Linked DNA regions of Bombyx mori. The protein of the gene in region 1 purifies or fractionates together with the protein of each later gene. This does not show direct contact. Links are inferred from orthologs where the notes say so. Each region holds a gene or a part of one and is shown on either strand. Other genes may lie near its edges.

Region 1 (11,518 bases):
AATTTGTCACGAATCTGCTGTGCGAGACGATAGACTATGCAGCCCAGCGCGACTTCTCGGCGTTTAAGCTAGCTTGTTTACTTACAACCTACGTCACTGTTCATAGTTACTTCAAGTGGTATTATTGGCAAGCCCCAGTCTCTGTTTGGATGTATTTCAAAGAACTTATGATACGGCTTACAATTGAGGTGATGAACAAATTTATTTTCAAACACTTTCTTTTCGAAGTCATATTTTCTTGAGCGCGATGATGACAGAAGTGATTTCTGGTGCCCATTAAATACGCCACTTACAAAGTATCACCTCTATCACAATAAGTTCTTAAGGTTTTCTTTAATTCTAGTAGATCTAGTAGCCTACGACCAACTCAGTCTTGTGTCTACCGTTTCTCTTATAATAAACGATCTCTTTTTTTATCTCAAAGAAATAACTTTTTTTTCCTACCTAAGCTGGCAGCCTAGGGAGGCTATTCCAGCGGAACCTTAACTAGTAGGTGAGCTCACGGGGCTCAAACCTGACGATGATGCTAACACGAACCCTAGCAAGAGTCATGCTTCGCAGAATCTACCACTGGATCGGAAACGCGACCCACTGAGAAGATCCGGTGAGAAACTCAGTGGGCTGTGTCTGAGAGTTAATTTACTCGTCGAGCCCTTCGTCGCAAGCGACGGGTTCGACGAGCACGGTGACCGGTGCTTGAAGTACCTAGAAGCACCGTTAGTGGATCGGGAGGATCCGAGATGACGTGTTTGGGGCGACGTCGACTGCTTTCCATTCTTTCCGCAGGATCGGAAATGTAGTTACCGGCGGCCACGACGAGAGGGTGCTCGTGTCGTGCCGCTTTATCGAAGTGAACCAAGAAATCACAGTACTTCCGTATACGTATTGTAAACACGTGTTGAAGATGAACCGACTAACCAGTGTCTTAACAACTCGCGTCCAAACCTCGGATGAGAGAGAACTTAACTAAAGCGGTTGTGCAAGGCGAACTCGTACCCGCCGGACAAGTCACTGGGCCATGACTGGTGTGGATGCGTTCATCCATTCCGAAAGGGTTGGCGGTGATAAGCCCACCGTGGCTGGTACAATATCCTGCCTATTTCCGCCACGAATAATAATAATATAACTCTTTATTTGACACCACATGTACAGAATAAGCATATAACACAAATAATAGACGGTGACAATAATTGGGGGCCTTATCGCTGAAAGCGATCTCTTCTAGGAAACCTTGCAGGGAGAGGAATACCTAAGCAAATTAGCACAGATGGTGCTATATCTTAATAAACTTACATAAAAAATATATATTTATATACACACATGAAAAATTAATACAATATAAGATAGACTTAAATAGACATTAAATACTAAAAATATGCAAGTAAATACAAAATAAGTAGCAACTTATACAGTTATATCGTAGGAGCCATATTGCACAAGCAAGGTAGTGTGATTTTATTCTGAACTTGAAAATTTTCGGGCGAGGACAATTGAAGATATAGATCTTTTAGTATTAATCAGTTCCGGTAGGCGTCAACACTAAACGTCTTTGGCAAATCAATGGCGTTCTATCTATATAATCTAAGACGTCGGAGCCAGGAGTTAACAAAAAAAAAATTTGATCTTATTATTTTACTGAATTTCCAGGATTCACCAGATGGAGAAGCAATATTTGAGCCAGACGAATGCTACGACATACTGTCACACTTCCACACCATGTACATTAAGAATCTACCACTGATACATGTTCTTACTTTTGGTGTTCGAAGACTCAAGTTTTTGTGGCCTTTCAAACGGAAATAAGTTTGTTTGAAAATTAAAAACTTCAGTTCTCTTGGTAGATTCTGATTTATTAAAGCTCTTTTATTTAAATCAGCAAATATCAAATCAAAGAAATAAAGAATAATTTTAGTTCTTAAATAATACATTACTGACTAATAACACTTTTAAGTTCATTTTTTAAATGCTTCGGAAACTTATTTTTCTTCCTTTTCCGGACTTTTCCTTCAGTCACATTTTCTTTTTTTGTTCCTTGTCTGCTTGGTTTATTTTTCTTTTTCTTACAAGACAAAGGATTAGGGTTATGGGGCTTTTTCTTCCTAATAGGGACATTCAGTTCTTCAACCTTTTCTTCAACACCTAATTTCTTTTTCATCTGCTTCAAAGTTTCACTCTGATTCTCAGTGATAAAAATATGTTCATTGGTTTCCAGAGCTTGACCTGCTTTGTCAAAGCTCACACTACTTGGTTTCTCTAATGTTGGTGACTTGTTATGTAGATATAGCAGAGGAACTCCAGGTTTTTCCCTTAATTTGGATTGCAGATCTCGATCCTGGGTAGCTAAGATATAATGCTTTTCATTCTTCTTACCAATCATGGACATTATGCACTTAGATCCAGCCACCGGTTCTTTGTGCCCACATTCATGAATACCAAACTGTTTTAATATTGTGAGAGCTCCATGTGTTTTCTTTGCTAATTTTTCTGTTTCTATAATTATACATCTCGTTGTCAGTAGTTTAGCCTGGCTGTTTAGGTACTTGGGAATTTGCTCTCTGATGTTAATATGCTCCTGAAATGAATAATTGAAAATAGTTTAATAGGCTTAATCATACCCCTTTGGAAAATGTTTAAAAGTGCTTTTTTATGCAATTTTTATTGATGGGTAGGGTAGGTGCTTGAGAGGCAACTTTAGTTAATTGGTAACAAAACTTTAAACACAGCAATATGTACAGCACCCACACTGACTTTTACCAGTGGTAGGACCTCTTGTGAGTCTGCGCGGGTAGGTACCACCGCCCTGCCTATTTCTGCCGTGAAGCAGTAATGCATTTCGATCTGAAGGGTAGGACAGCCATTATAACTATACTGAGATCTTAGAACTTATATCTCGAGGTGGGTGGCGCATCTGCATTGTAGATGTCTTATGGGCTCCAGTAACCGCTTAACACCAGGTGGGCTGTGAGCTCTTCCACCCATCTAAGCAATAAAAAATTTATAAATAAAACTGAGAAATGAGGCAGAAACAGGTAAAATATCTACTGAGTATGCCTGCTCAATTACAAATTTATTTCATTTTTATTTTCATTCCACCATATTATTCGAACTTATGTCATTCATAGACAAATACAAGTATTACCCAGCTATAGCAAATTATTCAATTGCTACAAATGTCATTTTATTTGAGGTATTTTACCTAGTTTTGATTACTGCTCGCTGGTTCAGGGAAATTCTCCTGCCAACGCATGCTCTGCTCTTTTAGAGTGAGATGAGAGTCGGCGCTGTCTGCCTCGGGGTCCGGGAGCTCATCCAGCGGAACTTGAATGTCCTCGTGAGGAAGTTGTTCCGCACGCCAGTCCTCATCAACTATGTCTATTAGGCGACCGTTACGGCGACACTTACTGTCCATACTGTATAACATTTATGCAATATTAAATAATAATTAGGAGAAATCGTGAGCATTTTCGGAGCAGTAATCAAAACAAGTCTTCTCTTTTACGAATTTCAATAGCCTAAAGGGTTATCAAATATACAATTATCGGTAGACAAATTAATCGAGAAGACTTACTTTGAATGCAGCGAAACAAAATGTACCATCGATAAGGACTTGGTACGGCTGATGAAATCCATAATTGTTGTAATAAAACTTTAGATATTTCTGTACTTTTTTGTAACGTGTTATTTTCATTTTTTATTACGAACCTCGCTTTCGTGAATTGTCTTTTTTTTAGGTGTTTACTTTAGTGTTCAATCTATGATTAAGTTATGATCTTGTAATGTAAATATATTTAATGCATTCACTTTGACAATTGTGTTGTTTTATTGTACATAAATTACTTTATTTATTTTTTATGTTAAGCTGTGATTGTGCCGCCGTCAGTGTAACCAGATTTTATTTGACGAATCTATTGCTTGTGGAGGTTAAAATCTACTGAATTCTACCAAAAGTGAACCAGAAATAATAAAAAAAGTATAATGGAACTTTTATTTTACTGTCGTGTTACAATGTGAAAACATGAATGTTTCCTTGATTAAATAATAAAATAATAAAAAGAAACCACAATTAATTAAATAGATCCATGATAATTTTTTTAAATTAAATTCGAAAAAAAAAGAAATTTAAACTTAAACTTAAAATTCTTCATCTTTATGTTAGGTAACATTTTCTTAAAGTTGTTTTGAGCCCATTAACTTGATAATACTTTTGTTAGGATCAAATGTGTGACATCAACTGTCGTAACCCCTCTTTTCCATGCATGATTGCAGCAACATCCTTCGTATTAAATCGATTTCGATCTTGATTTTTAATCCTATTAATATCAGAAATTATTCTTTCTACTTTGACGTTGGACAAAGGTAGTATCATCATTTGCTTCACAAATCGGGACAAATTGCCATACATTGGTTTGCTATTTGCATCACAGATTTGGCCGACTTCACCCCAAAACCTATCCACCATAAAAGTTTGACACGTCGAACTAGAAGTTGACAATAAATTAGACACAGAAACATCTAATTTTGATACCCTATATTCTTTGTCATAATTTGCATGTTTTCTGTTGCAACTACAAGTATATCGTGACGAATGGGACATCGCGATATCCTTGTGTATATTTATATTTAATTTTAAGCTCCATTATAAAAATTCTCAATGAAGGAATTCCCACTGGTCTATCACACTATGCTTAAAGAATGAAAATTAAATAGTTACAATTCATTCAATGAAAGGGCGAATACCCCGAATTTATCTGTTATGCCAAAAAAGTTTTGGAATAACTACTAAATTCTGTTGCTAGTGCCTCAAAATCTACCAAAAAAGTAGAAATCTACTAAATCTGGTCACGCTGGCCGCCGTACCTCTCAAATAAATAGTGTTTAATCTCTGGCCGTACCTACCTACGCAAGTTTTTTTTAAAGGGTTTTATGACCTGGTGACTAAGACCTTTAGGTCAAGTCGTATTTTAATTTATATTCTTATTTTTATGAAAAATGATAATATGGAGTGAAATGAAATGAAAATGATTAATTTGAGAAATTAATCAACCGAGATGAAAAGATTAGCTAAAATGAGATGAGATGACTGAGACAGACTTTTTCAGTGGACTTCTTGTAGGATCCCGAGAGGTTACGTCCAGTGGCTTTGTTTTATTTTCCCACATTTGTGAACTTTCACACATATTAAACAGTTAACAAACCACCGTTATTACACATTTAAACTTGAAGAAACACTAAATAGACAAAATAAAACAAATCACACAACTTCACTCCTTGCCTTCGAAATTGTGTTTAAATTTTCAGAGAAAATAAGAAAATCTCATTAGATAATGGGCTGCAAATGTCTTGTTTCCTTTATAAAAGTATGAAAAAGTGACATTGATTGAATGTCATAGTGTGCCATAGACAATTTCTTGTGAAACATCTTGCTCGCTCTCTCGCTTCCATGTTTGTTCGTGGTCATTTTGGATTTCTGTTCTAGATTTTCCAGTTTTACATTTACGATTAATGATTATATTTGTTTAAGTGTGTAATTAATGATAATTTCGGTGTCACGGCGACTTCGTGAAGATCTGTCGCCCAAGAAAAAGTTCAGAACGGAGCTACAATAACAGGGAGGGTACGTCTTTCACATCCTTTTAATCAAGTAAATGCGTCATTTTATCGAATATTGTTGAAAGTGTGCACGAAACTTAAAGTCTTCGGGTAATTGTGTGGTGGTAAAGTCGGTAATAATTGCATTGTCTCGGTGATGATCCCATTAGAGTGATTTCGTGACGTTCAGCTGATTTTAGGAGGGCGTTGATTTAATAATTTTGTTAACTGTTAATAGGAAACACTGCGATACGAACAGAGACAGTTAGTGGTTAGTCATAACAACAGACACGTTACGGGGTTCGTATCCGATAAAAATATTAAAATGTACACATTTTTTTGTAATACGTGAAATGTGCCGAGCGCCTTACTGATAAGTGTCAGTATAGGATCTTTTGTTTCTTTGTGATTTCGCGACGATTAAATGTTCGAGATAACGTTGTTTACCGTTTTCATCCGATTTTCAACTTCGCCGTCATTGTGGCAAAGAGGTTTTATTGAATTGAAGAAAAAAATACAATGGCACAATAATTCCTTGTTCATGATCAGTGAATGCTTTTTTCTCGCTCATTAGTTGTTGATGGTCTCGAATTGTGTTTTTGTTGGTTTGTTAGTTGGTGAGTTTTTAATTGTTTTATTTTCTTTGTTAATGCTTAGGCTATCATCACTATTATGTCTATTAAGAAAGAGAAAGTGAGGCCTTCATTATCTGTAATTCAATTAACTCAGTCATATTAGCAAATTGATAAAGATATGAATGGATAGTAGAAATGTAAAATTGCATTGTTCAAAATGAAAATCATTTTCTATTAATCATTACAAGTATTAGTCTGAAAAATAGTTAATTTACTAAATTTATATTTATGTTCAAAGAAAAGTCAACGCACAAAGTGTAAGGGAAGTATTCTCAAAAACAAAGACATTTTGTAGAGTTGATGTTTCCCAAGGAGGCAAAGTAACTGATTTTTTTGTGCAATGTTGCAATATTAACAATCAATAAAAAAACCAGCTGATGTGTGTGGTCCATTGTTTTGTGTCATGAGGGTCAGGGGAATTTCTGACTTTGCTGTCGATTTATGCTACCATAATCACAAGTTACATTTTATTCAGTTAGATTGGTCTTACGAGTAGAATGCTTAATGATCTCAACATCACTCAGATTTGTTTCCTGTGTGCTATAAGTTATCTTTGTTTAAGATATTTAATATAACTCATCTGTCATCAATAAATACATTTTTTCTGTGATCACATTTTGTGTATGGTCTAAGAAGCTCTTTTGATTTAACTACCCTATTTATTTAAAATTATGGGTTAATGATCAGCATGAGTAGGTGGTTCTGTAACCGAAAAAGCACCATTGAGTTTTCAAGTCTTGTGTGAATTTGTATATATTTGTAGTGTAAAATATACACGTGCAATGTTGCATTTCTAAGTGTACAGGGATGACGACACCAGCCAGTACTTGTAGCTACTCTTTACTGACTGTTCTTTATCTCTCATAGAGACATATAATGACCAGACACTGATTATGCAGTAATTTTCACCTTGTAGCATAGATTGTGGAATTATGGACCTAGACTGGTGCACCATAGCAAAATTTAAATTTAATGTTAAGCTATTATATTTTTATTGTTACATTAGTGACAGTGTGAGTGCATAATTATTACATTTACTGTGATTTGTAGATAGATCTGCTTGGCTGTGTCCATGATTAATGGTGACTACTTACCATAAAGTAGATCATATGCTTGTCTGCCTACAAATAAATAAAAGCTGCTGGTCTATAAGTTTTATTACGTTTTATTGTTTAATTAAAACGCACTCATCTTTCAACACATTTTTTTATTATTTATTGAATGCAAAAATCAGCAATTACAGATCATTTAAGTTCGACGGAGTCTTAAGCTCTATCACCTAATGTGTATTACTGTCATAATTATGCACATATACAGATAAAAAAAAATGCACAAAAATATTCGATGTCATTGTGGCCTAGTGAATACAAAGCTCCATGTCTTCATATCAAGTGTTGTGATTATGCCGGTGTACAAATGTCGCTTGCAGGTACCAATTTTGAGAGATTCCATTAAAATACGTGCTTAACTCAGGCTCACAATTGACTTTCACAATAAAGGGATCATGAAATACTCAAGTCTTGAGATGGCTGTCTGCATTCACATGTATAGGTAACAACTTAAAGTCAGATGGGAGACCGTTCACTCGCCGTTCAAACAATAATAAAAAAAAAGAAAAATTAAAAACATGCTAAAACGGAGATTCTAATCTATAAAAAAATTCTTAAAACTTAGGTGTTATAATTCTCTTATCATTGTGAATGATATGATACCAAAAAGAGCTATTAACCTAAATTGAAATAAACATGAAGATGAACTGAATTGTCTGTATTTTATTGCAAAAAACTCTATGTTAACAAATTCAACAACACTAAGTCTAGTTTTCATTTTATCGATGAATTGAATGTAAAAAAAACTTGTTCCACTAACCATAATACTAGGTAACGTGCTTAATGTTGCTATTGGTATTGAAAATAAAAATTAGCTGATTTTTGTATTAAATTAAGTTAGCTGTCTGGTGGACTGCTCTAAGTTGTTACTACATCAGAGTACGCAATGCTGTGGAGCATATTGAACATGGTACTTTTAAGTTAATGAACATACCAGATGTTCAAGGTATTTAAATGAGAGCTGATAATACAACATCGATTAATAACAAAAAATAAGAAACTAAACCACAAGATATACTAGTATAGATTACATACTGTACATATATATTGAACACATAATTTTGGAGAATACAGAATGGATGGGAAAATATTAAATTTAACAAAGTTTAAGCCAATCAATTTTATCACAGTGAAAATTTAGTCTGGGCATTGTTCGGTTTAGTCAAACCAGCTACAAAAAGAAAACATTTCTAATATAATCACTAAGGTATTCCTCTATGACACATTATCTGTGTATCAACATGTTTGTCTGTAACCAGGGGCTTCTAACCTTGAAATAATAGGCTTATGTAATTTGAGCTAAAATAATTCTAATTCAGCTGTCTGGTTGGTATAATTTTTGTGTTGTTTTTATCTTTTTGATTAGATATTGAAGTTAATTTGATTTTAATGAGTTATTTAGTTAAAATATTATCAAGTTATAAATATTTAACATTTATATCAATAAGGAAGTGTAATAAGAAAATTGAATTAGGAATTGTTTGCTATATATATATAGTCCAGTTCATTAATTCGTTCGCCTTATTATTTTCGGAGTCATAGACGACAATACGCGTTATTATATTATATCTAGGGGTGAAATGTTATTTCGATTAAGCTACATTTTTGCAACTTTACAGAAAAAACATTAAAGTTTTAAATTTTGAAAAAAATATCTTCATAAAAAAACACTTCTTCAGCTATTTTAATGGGGTAAACTTATGTAATTGAAGTTAAATTAAAAACATCGAATTGTTGATACTAATACTAAATAAGGCGGACCTTTAATTAGACCAAAGATAAATGTCGCGTAATAAGCGAAATGTCGCTTATACCAAATAGTCTTTCACTCCTTGATTATATGTATGCTTATTGTTTAAAAAATCAATTATTTTTTCAACATGTATGTAATATAATAATAAATTTTGGGCCGGTTTGTCAAACTCAACGAACATTCGATGCTAATTGATATATTGAGAAGTTTCCTAGATTTTTTCAATATGTAGGCTTATACTTGAAAATGGACTCTTCACTATATGATAAGGTGTAATATCTCAAGAGGTGACGTTCGCAACTAATTATACTAGGTATTAAACAGAGAGGTGTTTATATTTTACTTTGTTGCAATGAAAATATTTTTAGAACCATTGTGTTTTGCAACCAGATGAAATGAAAAAAAAAACGACACTAAAAAGAGACATATATATAGGACTTAGAATGCGGGCTGATGGCATACTATATAGATAAGTTTTCACTTCTACTCGGAAATGAATCTTTGAACTGAAATGAGTAACAATATACATCTAATATACAGATGTACCTATATGTTTGTCTCTTCTCATTGTAGGCGATGAGATAAAATATGTACTTCGGAAATTTTCACTTTTATACCGTGTGAATTACACGTAGGTACACGTTTTTGTTTGGACTTGCAAGTGTTAGTGGTTATTGTGTTGCTTCAACAAACAAGGTGATGGCCTCGCATTTTTTTATTGCTTAGAAGGGTGGACGATCTCACAGCCCACCTGATGTTAAGTGGTTACTGGAGCCCATAGACATCTACAATGTAAATGCGTCACCCACCTTGAGATATAAGCTCTTAGGTCTCAGTTACAACGGCTGCCCCACCCTTCAAACCGAAATGCATTACTGCTTGACGGAAAATAGGAGGGGTGGTGATACCTACCCGTGCGGACTCACGAGAGGTCCTACCACCAGACTCACAAGAGGTCCTACCAGTTAATTATCAGATCGTATAATTGGATAATAATAAAATAGAGGTTCCTTACAGGATATGGCGACAAACAGGACCGGAGCCGCACAGAGGCCCAATGGCGCTCCACAGACAAAAGTCTGCCAGTTCAAGCTGGTGTTGTTGGGCGAGTCTGCGGTAGGCAAGTCCTCGCTGGTGCTCCGATTCGTCAAGGGACAGTTCCACGAGTACCAGGAGAGCACCATCGGGGCTGCGTTCCTCACCCAGGCCATTCGATTCGACGACACCACCGTTAAATTCGAGATCTGGGATACAGCTGGACAGGAGAGGTCAGTTGAGAGAGAGCATGCTAAAAATAATGACGTCATACTTCTACTTATCTCGGCACCGGTCTTACGCAACCGCCACTCAAATTGTTATGGTCTACCCACTAATATATTGTTAAAAAGCTGCCGAGCGTGAGCACACAACGCAAAACACGTTATAAAAAAAATAACCTTTACTCTGAGTCAGTCGAATAAAAATTGAAAACAATTGAAAACCGCGTTGTATAAAATTAATTCGACGATGCAAATTCCATCCTGAGATACGGAGTCAAAGTCTAAATTACGTTGCTGCACGGGTAATCCTCTTATCGGTCTAACAACTGCTAATTTCTTATCCGATCCAGGCGTTGGGAAAACGCAAAGTCGTCATTGCCCGAAACCGCCGATGTCTTGTCGGTTCTCGCAGATCCACTTTCGATGCTTTTAGACTCCTCAAGCACCGGTCACCGTCCTCGTCGATCGTTTCGATTACGACAAAGAGTTCGACGAGCGAATTAACCCATAGACACAGCCCACTGAGTTCCTCGTCGGATCTTCTCAGTGGGTCGCGATTCAGATCCGGTGGTAGATTCTGCGAGGCACTGCTCATGCTAAGTGTAGCGTAAGCTAGTGTTAGCAAATTCACTCAGTTGAGCCCGTGAGCTCACTCACCTGTCCGGACGTAGCTGAAATAGCCCCTTAGGCTACCGGTGATAAAGAAGGGGGAAAATTGCTGGATTGGTATTGATATATTATTGTCCTATTGCCCTATAATGCCCTGTAATAGTAACAAAGGATGACTCGATCGTTGTAAAAATGTGTGTAGCCTATCTACTGGTGGTACGGTGAGCCCGGCTGTGTAGGCTCCACCGTCCAGCCTATATCTTCCGCTCATTTTGATTTGAACGATGAGACAGCCGATAAACAATACAATAGAGACTTAGACCTCGTGTTGGTTCATTTGTGTTGGTCATAAATGACACTACCTACCTACCTACTCTTAATGTCTCTTCGCTTGTGTTGACCACAAATGAAGCTACTCTTAATGGAAAGATTACAGCTCCATATTAGCTCTGAAGGTGGTATAATTATGCGCCTATTAGATTTTTTTTTTTTTTTTTAATTGCTTTGATGTGTGGACGAGCTCACAGCCCACCTGGTGTTAAGTGGTTACTGGAGCCCATAGAC
Region 2 (11,677 bases), on another chromosome or scaffold:
CTCACATGTCGGCCTAGGGACCGGCGAAGGGGACCTAAGAAGACGACGTGCAAGGTGCTCTGCACGCGTTTTATGCAAGAGCGTCCGGGTGATGGAAGGCCGGCTATCCTCAACCCACGCTGGTTCTGACCCAGCGGGGTATTCCGAGGGTAGACCATTCTAACCGGCGCCATCTAGGCGGGCTTCGGATAGCCTGCCGACCGAGAGGACTGGTGGTCGTGGCGCCAACGACTGCCAGTCCGGCGTCCCGAGGGGGAGGGTGATGGGAGAGATGTGCTCCGCACTAAACGCTTCACTTTCCCCCCTTTGCCTTTTCATGAGTTCTGTCTCATGCGAGGTTTGGATGCTGGTTGTTGAGCGACAGGAGGTTTTAGTCGGGTCGACTCCGACATGCCCCGCCCTCCATCCCCAGTGGAGGGCGGAAGTCCGGTGATTTCCTCCTGACAAAAAAAATCGACATTTTATTTTTGGAGCTTATTAATTTTGTTTATTTAAATTATCTATTTATACATAATATTTTTGAATAATTTATTTTTATTAAAGAATTTCGTTGACATTTTTAGCTGTGGGATAATGTAATTATTGTGAGTATGGACACTCTACACTTTGAGGACGTGATTCGCGGCTGTCACAGACTTTTGGATTTACAGAATAAATTTGAAGATGTAGAAGTACTGACATTGTTGGTTCGGGCCATTTTAAATGATACCAAAGACGCCGATGGAAATGGTGCTGCCAGGTGAGGTTAAATTCTACCAAATTCGTGGAAATTGACATGACAAACCCCTTTATTGTAATAAATTAGTCTAGTGTCATAGTTTTAATTGTTTAAAATGAATCTACAAAATTTGTCTTAGTTGATCTCGTTTTCATTAATGATGGTCGAATTTAAAACAAAAAGGGCTAGAAGAATATCGATTTTAGTTCATACAATACGCTATTTTTTTAGGTTAAGGAAAAGAGTACTAGAGTTATTCGGGAGGATAACTGCTGTGCACCACAATAAACCTGACATATGGATACTGTATTCCGATATTAGTCCCACGTTTTTGTTGAAGGCACAAAGACTCATGAAAGCGTACCGGGCGTACACACAGGTAATAATAAAAAAAAAACAAATTTTAAATTATTATACGACGTCATATTCCTTTATTGGGATAGTCGGTCGCGAAAACAATTTAAATGCCTGTTCAATTATAAAAAAATATACCTGGCTGCCGGAATTGAACACCGGCACAGTTGTGTCGTTCGATCCAAATAACCGGGCGTCTTATCCTTTAGACCATGAAGACGACGACCGTAATGACAGTCGTTGCTATGGTACTTTACAAATCAGAGTAAAATAAATTAAACTCTTTATCTCTAGAAAATGTAGCGTATTTAATTCTTCTACATTAGATAATTTATAGCGGATGAAACCGCTGGCGTGTCTAGTTTGTATGTAGACACCAGTTTTTAAAGATAACATTTTTAATTTTGATAATAAAATTTTATTACATTTAGTCATGTTGTTTTTACGCCATTATCGATCCAAGAGATACATATTTAAATTACTATTTCGAGTTTAAGACCTTAGCGAATATACATAAACAAAATTTCAATGTTTATATATAGTTATATATACAGAGAGATATACAGTTCTGTTGCAATTTTGTAATAGTAATATTTCTTTTTAATGATTGTTGACTAGAACGGCAACTGGCCCAACGACCCAGAGGCTTGTAAAAAGGTTATCGACCTAGCGTTATCTGTCCTCGAAACGAGTCTAAAGGCGAGACAGGAATGCGAGGACAAGGACCGGCTCCAAGCTGACCAGCAACTGTCGTCGGCTCGGCTGACGGGGCAAGCGGTGCTCAGGGCTGCCGAGAAACATAACTGGCCAGAAACACAAGACACGCTCGCGGAGCTGAGAGAAACCTTCAATGTTGTCACTGAATATATAAAATCTGTTATGTGAACTGTAGTTTCTGTTGTTCCCGTCCCCCCGATCCACTGACGGTGCTTCTAGGTACTTCAAGCACTGGTCACCGTTCTCGTCGAACCCGTCGCTTGCGACGAAGGGCTCGACGAGTAAATTAACTCTCAGACACAGCCCACTGAGTTTCTCGCCGGATCTTCTCAGTGGGTCGCGTTTCCGATCCGGTGGTAGATTCTGCGAAGCACGGCTCTTGCTAGGGTTCGTGTTAGCAACGTCGTCAGGTTTGAGCCCCGTGAGCTCACCTACTAGTTACGGTTACGCTGGAATAGCCTCTCAAGGATACCAGCTTAGGTAGGAAAAAAAAAAGAAAGTTCCCGAATACGCAATAAGCGACAAACTTAACATAAACAAATGTTCATTTATTGAACGTAAATACGTAACGTAACACTAAGCTAGCTGACGGACATACCCCCACCGTCCGTTCCCTTGACTGAAACACGCGTCTAACTCAATTTTAATTACATAAAGTACATTTTTTTGATCGCATGCTAACACCTGGTTCTAACACACCCTGTGAATCCCTAGACGTACAAGTGTTCGCACCCAATTAACTCAAATTCAATTCAAAATTAAAAGTAATTTATTTCAACTTAGATATCAGTAATAAAATAAATAAATAAATATTTACTAACAATCACGCCACGTTAACTGGTCCCGTGCTAAGTTCGTAAAGAACTTGTATTACAGGTACCAGATAACGGAAATAAATTTAAGATTTTTATTATACACATACATATATTTAATAAACATCCATAACCCTGGAAAAGAAATTTTATATTTATCATACAAATATCCTCCCGTGGCAGGTTTCGAACCCGCGACCCCCTTGTGTAGTGACCATGTCACTTACCACTACACCAGACGGCCGTTGTATAACAGTTGTCAGTATAACACACTTGTTGAATGTCAAAATATGAATAACAATGTTAACTCTACCACTTGTTCATTCATCGTTGCCCAGGCCTAATTTTCCAAATTCCAAAAAAAAATACAAAAAATTAAACGTGTTTATAGTGGCAGCGGCAAAAATAAAGATAAAGCTGCAATGATTGATTCGTTCATCTAATCAGTTCAAATTCGATGGATTTACAGTATTTTTATATAGACGTGAATAGAACATTAATACATCTAAAGTGCTTACATTAAAAACCTCTAAAATTTGTCAAAGTTCTCAAGAGAGCGAAACGGTACTGTACGTCTTTAGTGTCTTGTGCTCTACAGAGTATAGAGTCGGCATTCAGTGAGTACTGCTGCCTTCTCTGATTCTTTTTTTTTTGTCCTAACTATGCTGATAGCCCTGAGAGGCTATTTCAACTTCTCCTTGACGTGTAGATGAGCTCACGGGGCTCAAACCGGGAGTGTTGCTAACACTGGTCCTAGCAAGAGCAGCGCTTCGCGGAATCTACCATCGGATCGGAAACGTGATCCGGCGAGAAACTCAGTGGGCTCTGTCTATGACGTTAATTCACTCGTCGAGCCCTTCCACGGTTTCGACTAGGACGGTGACCGGATTCCTGATTCTCTGGCCCCTTGACTCCGTACAGGAAGGGCCGCTCAGGTCAGGCCCTTGTGTTTTATACCGCATGGTCACTGAGGAATGTTCTAATAAACTCTTCGTCATCATTTTTCCTCATAGCCCGCAGCTAACCAGAGTTCCTTTGTGGATCTACTTAATTTTTGGAGGTGGGTAGATGGACGGATTGCTTGTATCCCGAAGGCTTCAGAACGGATGGGCGTACACGGGCAGCCAGGAACGGTGGGATATACTAATAACTGACCGATAGCCCCCGAAGGAAACCTAATAGCTCGAGAGCAGCTGTTTCGCAACCTCAACACCGAATTTCAACTCTAGGGTAAACTATTAGCGTTAAAGCTAGAAGCGACGAACATGGCTTCCGAGTGACTCCCCTCTACGATTTTTTCTGATCACTGACATTTTTTTATTTGTTGGAGTGTATTTAATAAAGCCCATAGATTATACACTTAATATATACGAATAAAGCCTATAAAAAAAAACACAGTGTGGTGTTGAATTAATGAAACGCACATGTATGGCTCAGCTGACGTTTGACACTTACTTCCTCTTGACAGTAATCACAATTACTGTGTGATTAATGTCTAGTGTTCACCTTGGTGATGATTAATAATTGCAGTTAATTTATAATGCTAAATTGGTGAGAAGTGATATTAATAATGGCAACGGCCAACGACGATGAAATTCTTGAGGGCTTCTTGTGTCCCATATGTAAAGCAGATCTCAAATCCGCCTCACAACTAACAAATCATTTCGAAAGTCTTCATCAAGAAGATCAAGATGTTTTGAAATCATTAAAAGACATTTTTGGTAAAGCAAAGACAATAATACTGAATAATGACAATGCTGATTTGAAAGAGACATTCGCGCGTGCTTTGAAGTTTAATTACCAAGATTATTATGATGAAGAGCAGGTGATCGGAGTATCACGTAGTTCAACCGATTACTTTAAGGGTGTGAGGTTTTCCAGGCTTGAAAGATACGCTACGGAGACTAATAAGCTGTTGATTCGGTTGGATAAACTCATTTGTAACATGCCAAGTGACCCTCATCAAAGAAAAATTCATGAGCAAGATGTATGTATTAAATAATTATGTTTAATAGTTAACCTGGTAACATTTAACTAACTAAAATAATATAAATGCCATTGGAATGTTAAAATAATTTCTCATTTTATTGTATATGTATTTTTCCAGGCTGTGCCATGGTTAGATGGTTCATCAGTTAATCTGTGTCCCAACTGTGCGAAACCCTTTCACTTGACACGCAGGCAACATCATTGTCGACTATGTGGCTCCATACTATGTCATGACTGCTCTGTTTTTCTAGATATTGAAGTAGCTAGTAAGTTACACATATATTATTTTAAATATTCTTCAATTATGTTATTAATATAGTAATTAACCAAAAGCAATGACCTTATGCAACTCTCCAGTATTCTAAAAAGGCACCTAACTCTTGATTGAACAGGGAAAACAAAATAATATATATTTTAGTTTAGTATCTTGTATTATTGCAGTGTAGAATTACAACTCCGATTATCTTGCCTGTAATGAGTGTATGATTTTACATTTCAGAAACTATTATAAATCCATCAGCTCCAAAACCAGTATCAAATCCGGAACTAAAGCTAACAGAGAAGAATGGATTACGTCTCTGTGAACATTGTTACAATTTGATCAAACTGCGGAAACAAGTGCAAGAAACAAGAAACACAAAGACTGAACTCGTAACGGCCTATGAAGAGATGAGGAGTCTTATGGAGCAAGCCAAACCAGCTGTTGCTATGTATGAAAAGGTATTTATAAGAATTTGTGACTACTTGTCTTGTAGTGTCAATAGAAAATATAAAAAAAAAAGAAAAAACAGTAACTACATATTAAGTACATTAAATTTCTTCTTACCAATTTTGTAAAAAATTTATTATTTTCAAACGGTACTGTTATATTCAAATATTATTGTTTTTACTTGTGTAATGTATTAGTTTGGGTATTACTAAGTGCGGATGGCTTAAAATAGATACACAATGAACTGACATGTTACCCGTTTAGTTTGCTTAGGTTCATTCATTCATTCATTCATCATCAGCGACTATTGTCATCCACTGTCGGACATCTCCCTATCCATACCACTGAGCCCCGTGTTTGGCTCTCCTCATCCACCTCTTCCGGCCAACACTCGGAGATCATTGCATGTGCTTAGGTTCATAATTCACTAAATAAAATAATAAAACAACAGCTTAAGAACAGTTTCTACATACATTACAGATGTGCCAAAGTCTCTTTGATGGTGAAACAACCTACAATATGTCTGATGTGAATGCAATGCGAGGTCGTATAGGGAAGTTGGCTGAAGGCATAGACTTGCTGAGTAAGCAGATAGTCAGCTTCCCGGCAGAGCCTGGCACAAGGCAAGCCAGGCTACAGAATGCTATAAGGCAAGCTGCAGGACATTATATTAAGGTAAATAAAAATGCTTCAATATTTATTTAAAGTGAAACTTTAAATTTTTAACTTTAAATAAATATTTACCCTCAACTAGTTTTTAGAGATTTCTAATGTAGTCATGTCGGAATCATGATTTAGACAGCGACTTTGTATTGCTTACTTCTATAACCATCAGCTTGGCTGTAATAAAAAATGTTTAGAACAAAAGCCTGGTAATATTCTTAATCTTCCCATGTACCTAACACGAATTAAAACCATAAAATAATTATTTTGTTCCTTAATTTTGGACTGAAATCTTGTCAAATTTGGATTTCTGAAATTTAGAGTAGATGGCTCGCTGGAGTCATGTTCTTACTGACTACGAAAAACATTTCAACACATCTAATAATAAAAGTACTGGATACTGATTGTAGATAATAAAGAGAGAAAAAAAGAAGAAAATATATTTCTACGTTTATTGCCTTGACATTCATTTTCAAATAACGTTCTGATTTCAGGAAGACTTACTGTCCTTAAGGAAGCTCCCGACCGAAGCTCAGATCGAGGAGGTGCGTCGTCAGCGCTACGAGCGTGCCGAGAAACAAATACAAATGGAGCGGGAACGTATGGAGCGCGAGCGGCAGCGGCGGGAGGGTGCGCCCGGCGCCGCCCCACCCCCCGCCCTGACCCCCGCCGGCGCCCAGCACGACGACGACGACGACAACCCGCTGCTAGAGCAGATGAATATCATCAGGGGGTATATAAAAGAGGCGAGACAGGAACTGAGATTTGAAGAGGTGGGTCTTGTAAATAACTATAATCTATTTATTTATATACGTAGCCAGGAATAGTGGAGCTGCGGGGTACTGGATTCGTATTTGCGTCGCCCATGTTGGGGGGGGGGGTTGCCATAATCACCACGCTGGGCATGCGGGTTGGCGATCGAAGTATGCTGTTATGATACTCTGAGAACGCTGCTACCCATTCTCTGGATAATCCCTTAGTCGCATCTTACGGCATCCACGGGAGGAGAAAGGGAGGTGTTATTTTTTTTCGAGGCCGACACCACACGGCCGTATTATATGACCTATTGAGGTTCGCGGGGATCAATGGATGCATTGTGTGGATGTTTTGTCCTGTTTAAACGGATCTGAAAATTAGGCTAAAGTAATGAGGTTATTATGTCAAGGATCGATGATGATACATCGTGCAAAATGTTAAATTTATTTAGACGTCTTGAAGTTTTTGAAATTCACATTGAAAGATTCCGTTACACAGACATATACAAGTAAAGTGTCCGATCACCGTCATCGCCGAACCTTCGACCTTAGCATAAGTAGGATAAAAAAAAATAAACCTAATAAAAGAGCGTCAAATCAGGACAAATTACGTACATCTTTTAATAATAAGAGTATTTTATGAGGGTACCGCATACATTAGTTGTCATTAAAAAATATATAGGTATATATATAATATTAGAATCTTAATTTTCTTCCTTCTAATTTGATTTTGTTTATTTTAACTTATCATGGTCACATTACACTTATAAAGATTCTTTTACTGTCGAAAGGGAGTAAGTAATTGTAAATTATTAACAGGTGGCGATTTTAGAAGCAAACCTAAAGGAATTGAAGAAGGAATACAAATTACAGAAGCTCTCGAGCAGATCCTAGTCATTCCAGATATAACTATATCTAGTATATTGTTACGTTTATATTGTATAGCGTTTAATGATAACTTATTTAGCCCTTAAAACATTATTATTTAATTCTAGGCTTCGATCACTATTTATAAATATTATACTGTGCATAAAAAAATTATGATTCTAAAACAGGACTTGTTTTTATTTAGAATAGAATAAGATTGACCTTTTACCTGCGATACATTATATTATCTGTACATTGCCAATTATACCTGTAGTTATGGCCGCGCCGATCCCCGGCAACGCCTATGTGCGAAACCCACGAAGCGTCTCCGTATTTTTAAGAATCTTCATGTTTCAATGTTTTTTTTTATTATTTGTTAATTTTGACCAGTTACCACTTAACACCAGGTGGGCTGTGTGCTCGTCCACCCATCAAAGCAAAAAAAAATAAAAAAAATAAGAATCTATAAGAGCATGTTTGGCAGTCTTTTTAATGTGGCTCATAAGAAGATCACGATAAGAAGATCCTAGGTCATATATAAGCGCTATCTACTTTCTTTAATGATTACTTTATACTGTATTGAAGAAACTTGACGAAATAAATTGGAAACAAAACAGCATAATTGTTATTTGATGCGAACGTGCCATAATTGTATTTAATCACAGTTCGACTTGGTTGTGAAAAATATGGGCTAGTCATTGTTGCCAGATTTGAAATATACCAAATTTCAATATTTGATACTACAAATCAAGTATATTTATCTATTAATAACAATTTAAAAATCAATAGATTCATTAAAATCGGCACTCATTCGTGAACAGATTCACAAACGCAAAAAATGAAAATGTGATTTGGGTATAATTATTATTACAACCATAGAATTGAACATGAACTTGTGAACGTTGGTTACAGACGGTGTATAAGGTTGTGGCAAAACCGATGAGGTCAGCGCAGTAACTAATATATTAAAGTGATGTCAAGCAGTGTAAGCTAAGTTGGTGATTTTGATAGATAGGTATATTCTCTTGTAGTTTAATTGTGGTATAAACAAGAATGAGCTTTAGATTTAAAAAAAACCTATACTAATATATAAATCTACACTGCTTTTTACGGATGTTCCGTTATAACTACTGAACCAAGCATCCGATTGAATTGAAACTTGGTATTCATGTAGAAAATACATGTAGTTAATGGATAGGCTAATATTTATATGAGTGTTGGACTCCCTACACCAGTTGCGGGGGCGTTAATGATGAGAGTCTTTGTGGGGGTGAGAAATAATAATGTTAATTTTAAATGCCCAGCGAAGCGGACGGTAACAGCTAGTAATAAAATAATTTTAATAGCTTCATGATTGCTACTTATAAATATCACATGTACAAATTTTATTCAAATTGATTTCGTTAATTATTTCGCATACTTCTCTCTAAATTTTTCCAATTTTTCGAGTTGCTTCAAGAGCTGTGGTCTCGTGCAAAGTGCTTTTTTGATCGCCTCGTCTAACATCTTTCTTTGGTAAAACGGTGGTATCGGAGTGTCTTCCAAATGGAATGTGTGAATGCGTCCAGACGTCTCACCAACGAAGACATTATCTCCCGAAGCGGCAAATTTAATGTACGTCAGAACAACGTTATTAGGAAAAGAGTATTCCGCACACGGCATATGAGTTTTCCTTCGCAGATCCCAAATGGAAAGTATATTTCCGCTTACTGATAAAATCACCGTGGAGTTGATTGGACAGAATGCGATACCGTATACTGCAGCGGGACATGTTAAGGTCATAATGACGTCATCCATGCCTTCTATCCACAATCTTATAGCACCGTCTGCGCCGCAAGACACCAACAACGAACTCATAAAAGGGGAGTACTCCATGCCGTAAACAGGACCTGCATGTGCTTTGAAGACCTCGATGTGTTGATTCAGATAATGAGTAGAACATTTGTGAATACATCCTTCATCAGTACCAACTAGATACACGTGCTCAACGTTCGGGTGCCATTTTATGCATAACGCTGCTGGGTAGCGCGTTATAGGAACGTCTACTTTCAAACATGCTTTCGTTGCTTCCAGCCCTTTCATCTTACCTTCGACGGTTGATATTCTCATCATGGGTGAACATATAAAATCGTGGGTCTTAGTGTTAGTAAATTTGTTGATCCTTCCGTCTTGACATGAAGTCATAACGAATTCATTATCCTTATCAATTGATCGCCAACTTGTCACCCAGATTGGTTCAAAACAGGGATTTGTGTCGCGTTTACTTTTCGCTATGCTTTTTGTGGTGTATGAAGTGATGTCCAAAATCAATACGTCACCGTTAGCAAAACCGCAAGCTAGCCAGTTAGGGTTTTTTTCGGCAAATGCCAATGATGTTAATGGATCTTCGAATTGGTAAACTCTTTCGGGTTTTAGTGGATTTTTTGTACACCAAATACAGACCAAGCCGTTATAGCATTCAGCATACCGGAACTTCCCGTGAGCGACTGCTAATATATTCTCATTCTTCGGATTAAATGAGATTCCAGTTATGGGGCGGTTTATGGTATCTTCACATTCAAAAGTCCATAAAGGTTTCATTGTGTAAATATACACTAAATCTAACGAGAGTGGATCTATACGAACCAAGCCACGGTATTTCTTCTGAGCTTCAGAATATTCTAGTGTCGATAATACACGTTCAGCCAATAAAACCGCATCTAGGAATTCTGGTGTCGACGCTAGTTCTTCAAAACATTTTCCTTTTTTCAAGGAAGCGTCAAAAACATTTAGTTTCTTCTTTCTGAGTAAATTGGGTGCTGCTGATTGATAGAGCACCATTTCATCAGGTTCTTCTACTTTTTTCACGTTTGCAAGCTTAGCGTAGGTATCGTGCATGTCCCATAAAGATGCGAATGCTATAGCATTTTTCCTTTGGGGTCTCGACGCGAGCGTGTGTCGTGTTTGTACAATATACTCTTCGGTTTGTGTTTCCTCCACAATCATTTTTCTGTTTCTCCCTTTTCCAACAGTAATATATTGATAAAACTCATTATCCTCTTCTACCTTATCTGCTTCAGGAGTACCTTTCTCAAAAGCAAAACTAGGTAATTCGAACAAATAGCAAGTTTCTGTCTCTTTAAGCACAATGAAAATTTCTGGGGGATAAGACATGACTGGTTTACTTTTCGGGAGATAAAATGCTGAAGGCGCTTGTTCGAGAACTTCGTCGTCAGGTATAAAACCCTCGCTCGTGTTGAGCGTGTGATCGATATGAATGTCGTCAAGAGAGATTGTCGTTGCAAAAACAGTCATCGCACCCTCCGTAACGGATCGTGATTTAGACGTAGCTTTAAGCCCGGTTTCACTTTTAAAACGGGGTTTGTTTTCAAAGGCAGCGTGCGAAAAAGTATCTACCATCATTACATAATCAGGCTCGAGAATGTCTTCGGGTGTGACATCGGCACCGTCAACCACAACACGATACATTGCTCTTTTCTCCATAAACGAAAACGCAACTTTGCTTGTTCTAGATGAAGACTGCTCATTGAAACTGATCTTTGAGGCTACAGTTTCTGATCGTGTATTGGGATCCGGGGATTCCGGTAGCATTATATTGGACGACATTATTTTTATTTACACAAAGTACATACATACATACGTATCCTGATGGATTTTTTTTTAGGAAAATACAGTTACGTATTTCAAGGCAGATTTAATAAACACTAATCCAATTACATTGTGACGGTTGACATTGACATTTTACAATTTAGCTACAATATTTATTTGAATCGATTCACACAAATAGTCCATAATCCTAAGACTTCTAAGTTGTTTATACTAATTTGTCTAGAGCATCAAGATCTAAAAACAAAATAAAGTACATAAGTGTGTGGTGCCAGCTTAAAATAGCTCCACCTCATTTCTTCCCACAGATTACGGGATTTATCACCAGAGGCATTCTTAAAGTATTATACCAGCGTACTACGATCGCCCGTCGGTGTTCACGGCCGCAAAATAGTCAAGCATTCCAATTATATGGATGGGACACGTAAAACAATACAATTCATGTATCGACGGTAACCACTCATCATCAGGTGGGCAGTATGCTCGT

The links.
Region 2: the proteins of small GTP binding protein RAB5 (region 1) and rabenosyn-5 purify together in Drosophila melanogaster (affinity purification with western blotting; 3 studies listed by BioGRID, with this or other methods). This does not show direct contact. The link is inferred for Bombyx mori from reciprocal best matches to the Drosophila melanogaster genes Rab5 and Rbsn-5.

The regions. Positions count from the first base shown.
Region 1 is NC_085110.1:1,320,183-1,331,700, reverse strand, and holds the start of small GTP binding protein RAB5, read left to right. Parts: upstream 1-5,435; 5' UTR 5,436-5,614; exon of another isoform or gene 5,615-5,889; intron 5,890-5,928; exon of another isoform or gene 5,929-6,206; intron 6,207-10,103; 5' UTR 10,104-10,106; coding exon 10,107-10,354; intron 10,355-11,518. Other genes in the region: uncharacterized protein LOC119628424, read left to right, coding at 1-188, 1,648-1,803; rRNA-processing protein UTP23 homolog, read right to left, coding at 1,928-2,572, 3,569-3,688.
Region 2 is NC_085116.1:3,149,820-3,161,496, forward strand, and holds rabenosyn-5, read left to right. Parts: upstream 1-4,003; 5' UTR 4,004-4,171; coding exon 4,172-4,588; intron 4,589-4,708; coding exon 4,709-4,856; intron 4,857-5,089; coding exon 5,090-5,310; intron 5,311-5,779; coding exon 5,780-5,974; intron 5,975-6,456; coding exon 6,457-6,735; intron 6,736-7,536; coding exon 7,537-7,611; 3' UTR 7,612-7,772; downstream 7,773-11,677. Other genes in the region: tetratricopeptide repeat protein 27, read left to right, coding at 564-739, 950-1,097, 1,691-1,957; dynein axonemal intermediate chain 4, read right to left, coding at 8,992-11,190.